2 linked regions of the Cricetulus griseus genome follow. The protein of the gene in region 2 interacts with the protein of the main gene of each other region in a pairwise test. Links are inferred from orthologs where the notes say so. Each region holds a gene or a part of one and is shown on either strand. Other genes may lie near its edges. The genes, in order: Hoxc9 and Lpxn.

Region 1 (4,442 bases), on a different chromosome or scaffold from region 2:
TCATCCCTCAGCTCTGGGCTGGGGATCATCATTGTGTGTGTCTTTTTGTACAAAATCTGCCCGTAGAGCTCCCAAGGCCCAGGATCAGACCAAATAGGAGAGAAAGACAGAGACAGGGAGAGACAGAGAGAGACAGAGAGACATAGACAGAGAAAGATAGAGACAGAAAAATTTAAATACTGGCTTCTCTGAAGAAAGAAGGAAAAAAAAATCACATTTGTGTGTGTCATTTATTTCAGTTGCGCTGGGGAGAAGAGAACGCGGTTTCTCCTGCCTCCTCCTTGCTGGATAGAACTAACTCTAAACACCAATTTCTCAACACTTAACCCTCCCACATCGCAAGAGTTTGCATTTTCCCCTTCCTTGTTTTTCTTTTTAAGACGATGGGCTTTTCTCTATCTTGCTCTTTCCTTTTCTTTTCGTGCTTTCTCCCGCCTGGGTTGGGGCATTTTTGTGGGGTTTTTGTGTTTCCCTGGGCTGTGCCGAGGCAGCAGGCTGGGGCAGGGCTTAGGATTGCTCCTTGTCGGTTTTCTCTTTATTCATCTTTTTCATCTTCATCCTCCGATTCTGAAACCAGATTTTGACCTGCCGCTCAGTGAGATTGAGAACACGGGCCACCTCGTATCGTCGGTCCCTGGTTAAATACATATTGAAGAGAAACTCCTTCTCCAGTTCCAGCGTCTGGTACTTGGTGTAGGGGCAGCGCTTCTTCCTTGTGGAACGGGCGTGGATCCAGTTGGCCACGGGGTTGCCTAGAGGGCCAAACATAGGCAAGGGTCAGTGGAGTTCCCTTCCAGCTCAGGACCTCTGTCATTCCACCCCCATGCTTAGCCAAGCTCCCCAAACTCAATGACTGAACCTGAATTTGGACACGTTTTGCTTTAGGCATGTTCCTCCTTTCTCTTTTTCATATTCCCCCTCCCCATGTCCCCTCCTTGTTCAGTTTCCAACACCTAAAACTGTAGTAAATTTGAAGCTACCAAAGCCCCCACAGTCTGGTCCTCAGCTTCAAGAGTAGTAATTCGAGAATATCCTCATAAAAAGTCCAAATTCCCAACTGTTTCATAGGCCCATAAACGCTTCTCTCTCTCTTGTTTTTTATTTTTATAGCAAGGTCCCTCTCCTCCCCATTTCCCTCCTCCTCTGCCCCCTCCCAGCCTCACAGCCCACGACCAAGTCCTGAGATTTCATAGTTTTTTTTTTTTTTCCTGACCCTGAGAGTCCCTAAACCCTCACTTCTTTCCAGTGTTCTCCGGCTCAGAATTCAACCCTGCTGAGGCGAATTATCAGGGTTAAACCTTCCCCTCTCCTCAGAGAGCTGCTGGCCTTGGAGAAAGACTCCCCCATATCTTAGCCTCTCTGTTGGTCACCACTGTGTTGTGCTCCCCCCCCGCCCCCCCCATAACCCCACTCCAGTCAGCTCTAGGACAGGCTCTGCAGGAGACAAGCCTCCAATTTCAGGTTTATGGGAGTAGCTGAGGGCAGAGAGGGAAGCCTTCAGAGGGGTATAATTAGGCCCTGGCCCCTTATGGAGCTAGAGGAAAAGATTTCCTGAAGTCTCCTCCTGGGGATCCCTAGACACTTCCTCACCCCCAGGGGGGCTGCACCTCTCCCCTGCTGTTTCCCCTTCTTTCCCCTCTCTCTTTGACCTGGCAGCTTACACCTGCCCCCCACCACTTCACCTACCCTAGCCAGCCTCTCCCCCTTCTATGAAACACTCAGAGTGCTCGACTCCCTGACTTGGACTGTCTCTCTCTCTCTCTCTCTCTCTCTCTCTCTTCTCTCTCTCTCTCTCTCTCGTGTGTGTGTGTGTGTGTGTGTGTGTGTGTGTGTGTGTGTGTGTAATTCTTTAATCTGAAGAGCCTTCCCCATTCCATATTCCTGATCCCCATTCACAACTCTATCCTGTGGACACTTAAAAGTGGCTTTTCAAGTTTAAGGAGTCTCGGACCTTACTTCTCTCCCACTTACGTCTGGAAGTCCTGGCCTAAGTTCCTAGGCTGCGTACCCCCAGATCCTTCTCCCAAGGGAAAACTCAGTGGATCTTCTGTTTTATAAACCCTAGTGGGATGAAGACCCCCACACTGGCTGAGAGGTAGGGATAATTTCTCTCCTTTTGCTCCAAGCATCCTGCCCTGTCCCTTCTCAAACCACAAAGTGAACCTCAGCCCAGCCCCTGTTCCTGTTTGCATTTTATTTTTTGAAAGTGACCACTGAGCCAAAAAAGCCTGAGCTAAGAGGGCGACACAGGGGTCTTCCTTCAAAACTAGCCTCTGGCAGAGAAGTCCCTGTGGCCGGCCCTCTCCCAACCTGGCTGCTTGGGCCCCCTTCTCAGACCTTCCTGCCCCTGAGAGCTCCCCAAGGTAATTTGCTTTTATTGAGTCCTCGCCCCCTCGCCCTCGCCCCTCTCCCGCGCTGCCTGCACCGCTTGGACGGGCTGTAATCTGGCTGCCCCCGCCTGGCCTCCCCTCCCCTCCTGTGCCGGTTGTAAATGAAAATTGCTCCCAACTTACTAGGGTCCAGGTCGGCCTTCTCCTCTTTGTGCTTGCTGCCGGCCAGCGCGTCCGCCTCGGGCGAGGGCAGCGTCTGCGGGGCGCGGTCGCGCAGCTCCCCGGGCGAGCCGTACATGTAGTCCGGGTAGCTGCGGCCGTCGCCTGGGCCGCAGTCGGCGCGGCGCCCGGGGTAGGCGTCGGGCTTGAGGGCATAGTGACGGCCCCCGGCCGGAAAGCTGGGGAAGGAGACGGCGCCGGACAGCGGCTCGAGCCAAGTCCGCATGTAGCGCGTGTCGGCGCCGAGGTGGGGCTGGGGGCCGTACGGGTGATAGACCACGGACGACTGCGAGGGCACGGGCGCCCACGACGTGCTGAACACGGCCGGCTTGGGCGCGAAGCTACAGGACGGAAAATCGCTACAGTCCGGCACCAAGCCGCTGGGTCTGGCGGCGGCAGGGTGAGCCCCGGTGGCCGGAAACCTGGACGCTAGGAGGTCTTCATTGTCGTGAGAGATGAGCGAGTCCACGTAATAGTTACTGATGGGCCCCGTCGCCGACATCGTAACAGGGTTTTACATACATAAGATTATTGTATGAACTGTATATGTACTTTTTATCTGCTCACAGAACAATCAAGGCAGGTAATTATTTTTCCAGCCTTTTCCCGGCAGCTCATTGGTTCCCCAGCCCCCACGTGATCGTATTTACCCAAAAATACGGCGCGGATCAATGCGCAGGGGCTTTTTTTCCCCTTGCTTTTTTCCCCCCTTTACCACCCCCTTCTCTCTGCTGATCCCCGCGACCTGCGTTTTCCTGACGATCTGCAACTCTGGACCCAAGGCGCTGGACACCCCACTCCGGATGACTCATATCTCATCAGGGAACCCCCCCCCCTTGACCATGTGCAGCCAAAAGCAGATGGCTCCCCCTACCATGAGGATTAAAAAAAAAAAAAGGTGAAAATGCCAGTCCCAGAAGCCAGGGTTCCTGGACCCCCAGGGCTGAGCTGGGCTCGGGGAGCCCCACAGGGGCGGGGAGGCCGGACGAGGTAGGTGGAGGAACTATTTCTTGACGTAATCTATCTCTGTCTGCCCCGATGCTCCTGCAGTCTCTGAGTGAGCGGAGATCTGCGATTGTCAGTTCGGAACGTGGCTTTTAAAAATGCGTTTTTAAATACGGTGTATGTATGTATTTCTTTCAGGAACAGCAGCACCAGCAACAGCGAGGGAGGGAGGGTGGGAGGGGACTGAACAAACTGGGATGGAGGGAGGGAAGGAGGGAAAGGGGAGAGTTCTTCTGCCACTGGCCAGCTTAGATCCCCAAATCTAGGGTATGGAAGCTTGGGAAAGGTGGTCTGTGGGCTGGGGGAAGTAGAACTTGCTGATCTTCCACACCTTTATCATCAGCTTCACAAGTCTCCTCTTGCTTTGGCACAGATATATAAGCCTTTATTCAAATTTATTGTCTCTGTTTCTTTGCCAGCTTGAAGAAGTGAAGGAGAGAACTACACAACTTAAGTGGGGCATCCCCATCCCATCTGCCTGCTCGCCTTCCTTTACCCCCAGGTCCATCTCTGTAACACTTCCACTCCCCCCCAAAAAGAGAAGTAACTCGGAGGTTCTGCAGAAAGCCAGGGTGAGAACAGGCAAAGCGAGAGAGCGACCTGGGTCGTGGGCAAGTAGCTTGTTTTTACGTCCTTCAATAAAATTTTTATGAGGATCATTTGATTGTTCATAAATGTGTCTTTCATTAAATAAAATTGTAGGCTGTTTTTGGAACAGAAAAAGGCAACGGAGGGATGGGAGAAGGCAATTTCTTTGGGGTCGGATGGAAGAATTCAGGAGGTGGCTGTATGATTGAAAGGAATTATCAGGCAACTTGGATCCCTCCCTCCTCAGAAGTTGACTGCTATCCTCCCCCTTGAATTTGGGGTTTGTTGCATGCACAGACT
Region 2 (3,813 bases):
AGTTGAGTCTGGCTAATAAAATTCGAGATAAAACTTTTGCTTTATTGTTTTTTTTTTTTGCTCTAAAGAAAACCCCTTTCATTGTAGAGAATTTAAAAATATACAAAAGTATAGAAAACATTTTAACAGAACCTAAGCCACAATCATCAGCTCCTGATAACCTTCCTTTATATTGTTTTCAAGAAACTTAAGATATTAAATTTCTTTCTTTTTAAAATAAAGATGCCAATCTTCCAGGGTGTTGTGGCTTCTCCATCAGAGAGCCCAGTCTAGCTTTATCTCAGTTTTTCTGTGCCTGTGTGTCCTAGTGTTTGTCCTTTCTTCATTCTTTAACACCCCAGATAGATCAATCCCAGAAGCTACATGGAGCAAAGCAATAACTATGTCACTTTTGTGAGATTTTATATAATTAAAGCCTTAAGTTTGGGGCCTGCACTTTCCCCTTTGCCTTTTGCCTTTGCAGTCTTCCTTCGTAGGCCTGTGTCTGCCTATTGGTAGCCTGTGTGCCTGTCTTTGTATGTGCTTGTGTGTACCAAGGTGTGCCTGGGTGCCTGCTCAGTGGACTCTGTGCCAGTCAACAAACTGAGTCTTTAGACATTACATTTCTTATCTGTAAAATATTGCAGCCTTAATATATAAGTATGTAATGTTTATAAAGACAACCACACTAACACTGTCATACCCAGAATAGCTAACAACCTTAATGGTGGCTCCTCAATGTCAAGAGATGACATTATCACAGCTAAAATTAACTGAAGTCACTTTAATGTTAATATTTTCAAATTTCTAAAATGCTAGTATTTAATATTATTGACTATATAGTGTTAAATATTCTTTAAAATATTTTATTAATTTATTATTTTGTCACCTGTCTTCTTATGCATATAAAACTCATGCTAAACACTGAATTCTGATTTGCCCAAGATGTATTTTTGTACTTGCCTTTAAGTTTTTGATGGTAAGTTCAGGAAAATCTCACAGAAATACTATCTTGACTGCTTTATTTTTTAATTAAAGTTATGACCTAAGTTGCAGGGTGTTGGTGGCTCACGCCTTTAATCCCAGAACTCGGGAGGCAGAGGCAGGCGGATCTCTGTGAGTTCGAGGCCAGCCTGGTCTCCAGAGCGAGTGCCAGGACAGCCTCCAAAGCTACACAGAGAAACCCTGTCTCGAAAAACCAAAAAAAAAAAAAAAAAAGTTATAATCTAAATTAAAATTAGTTACATGTCTCTTATTATTATATATTTGCCCTTATTTTTCTTTCTTTTTTTTTCTTGTCAGTTTATTTATTGAAGGACAGTCCGGCCTAAAGAGATTAGTCCAGTTCGGTTATTTCTGAAATGGTGTACTAAGGTCAAAACTTTGTGATATGGATGATTGAGAAAGTTCTACAGAAGATTTCTTTTGTAAAAACAAGCGATTAGATCTTCCTTATAATATTGAGAAATACTCAACCTTAATCTGGGGCATGTGGCTTAGTGGCGCATTAACATACTTTGGTAACATAATAAGTTCCTGGGTTCAGCATCGTAAAGAGGAAAAACAGTGGGGCTAAGACAGTTTTGAGCTGCTCCATGATGTCTCACCCATGTGAGACATTCCTCAAAAGGGGAGGCAGGAAGATTATGAGTTTTAGGCCAGCCTGGCTTACTTGGTAAATTTCAGGCCAAGTTGTTCTGTGGCAGCCTCTCTTAAGAACTGGACAGACCAATCCCAGTTCCCTCTAATTCCCATCCTCAAGATTGTTTTTAATTGAAATTAAAATTAATTTAAAAAACAGACAGACCAAAACCCTGTCCTCTCCTAGTATGAAATGCATGAACATGTTTGTTTTTTAATGATGTGATAAGTTCATTTTCTTTATTTGAGAATTTCAGAGATAGGCGGGTCCTTAGAAATCACACAATCTAATGCTTTGCAAGCTTATAAAAACTAACATATATTTTAAAAATTCACTGAAGTTCAAAAGAAGATACAAAATTATCTTGAATTACAATTTGAAAAATATTGTTCCATCCAGTTGCTTCATTATGTAGATGAAGAGAACATGCTGTGCTTAAGATGACTCAGACAATCTGGTGATGATGGCAATTCCAACTTACATGTTGGTGGGGCTCAGATAGCTCCCCTTGGAGCTCTGATGCTGTGATCAAGAGCCTGTTGGAGCTGCACTCTTTCTCCTGTATATGAAATGAGGACAGTGATGTCCTCTACCTAAAAGTGTAAGGACAACACTCTTCATACACTGTGATTGGTATGGGTTTATAATTTTCATTAATCATTATGATTAATGACATTATAACAAGAAGGTACTAGCAAAATGCTTGTGAAGTATATTGGCATTTTCCCAAGAAAACAGCAAATGAGGTCCAATTATTTGGATTGCTACATCTTGCTTGATTGTACAATATTTTTTTCAACTTCTTTTACTTTCTACATTCAAACTGACTAACAACAACAACAACAACAACAACAAACATTAATACTTGACAGTTTTTTTCTTGTTATATTATTGCACTAATCCTTCAGATATTAGACTAAAAAAGTCAGGATTAATGTTTTGCCTCCCTGCTGTGTGGGATGAATTGTATGAAAGAATAAAAAAAAGAATTTTGCTTCTTGGACTATTTTGAAAAACCTTATTTTTTCTAATATGAAGTACATGTGTTTTCTTCTGTGTGTGTGTGTGTGTGTGTGTGTGTGTGTTCTACCCAACTGGTTAAAAATCAATACCTAGAAGCCAAATTATAGGAAACCAGATTGTAGAGAGCCAATATAATGGAATACAACCATAGGAAATATCAAATGGACCATAATCTTCCCAGGCATATCCCAGGACATGCCACACTCCTGAAGTGTGAGGTATGGAGGGAGGTATTTGAAAATTGTTATCCAAAACAAGAAGAGAATATTTAAGAAGAAAATAACTCTGGAGACTCACAAAGTCTATATTAAGCTCCTTTTGTGTCCTGTGATATAGATGCCTTATTGGAGGAATTGGAACGCTCCACCCTCCAGGACAGTGATGAATATTCAAACCCAGTTTCTTGTCAGCCGGGTCAGCAATCCAAACAGGAGAGCAAGCTTCCCAAAACTCCAAAGACCTTGTCATCTCAGAGTCACACAAGTCCTTTGAAGGTAACATTTCATCTATTGCAGTGTTATAGACAACATTCGACTGTATTTCTGAAAATTGTTTCCCATATAAAATTATATTAAGGAGGCAACATATATTCAGGACAGAAAAAAAGTATCATTTCAACATTAAAAACAGTTGATTTTGGAAAGAGGAGACTTGAGGACATGACCATAGAGTATGCCTTTGAAACTCTCTTCTTCTGGCAGAATATTGCCTGGTTCATGCTGGCTACTGTGATGGTGCTCCCTGGCTACCAGAAGTGCCATGTTACAGTGTGACTGGAGTCATACCCAGTAAGAGCAGGGATAACCTCATCTTTTAGACTAGTCTTTTTGGGGTGACTGTACAACTGTTCCTTTGTTGGTCTTATTTTCGGCTGAATAGATTCAGGGAGTGATTGTTGAAATTCTTAGACTACAGCCATAGGATTCCTCATGTTTTCCCACACAGATAACTGCACTTGATTATCACAAAGCAGCCTCCTAGATGCCTGACTTAGGACAGATCATGGCAGTCTTCTGCTCTCACTCTCCCTGTGATTTCCCATCCCATTTGCAGTAGAAGGCACTGTGTTGGCGCTGATCTTTGTGGATGACCACATCTTTGTTTACCTGCAAGAGACCTGAGCTTTTGCTTATTTTCCCGACAGCTCATTGATTTCCTTTCATGTAATA

What was found.
Region 1: the proteins of Lpxn (region 2) and Hoxc9 interact in binary tests that used the Homo sapiens proteins (3 or more experiments, as listed by UniProt). The two-hybrid records come from large-scale screens. The link is inferred for Cricetulus griseus from reciprocal best matches to the Homo sapiens genes LPXN and HOXC9.

The regions. Positions count from the first base shown.
Region 1 is NC_048595.1:399,355,358-399,359,799, reverse strand, and holds the start of Hoxc9 (homeobox protein Hox-C9), read right to left. Parts: upstream 3,089-4,442; 5' UTR 3,052-3,088; coding exon 2,514-3,051; intron 753-2,513; coding exon 508-752; 3' UTR 1-507. UniProt on the Homo sapiens protein: Sequence-specific transcription factor which is part of a developmental regulatory system that provides cells with specific positional identities on the anterior-posterior axis.
Region 2 is NC_048596.1:47,746,347-47,750,159, reverse strand, and holds part of Lpxn (leupaxin), read left to right. Parts: intron 1-2,980; coding exon 2,981-3,127; exon of another isoform or gene 3,128-3,138; intron 3,139-3,813. UniProt on the Homo sapiens protein: Transcriptional coactivator for androgen receptor (AR) and serum response factor (SRF). Contributes to the regulation of cell adhesion, spreading and cell migration and acts as a negative regulator in integrin-mediated cell adhesion events.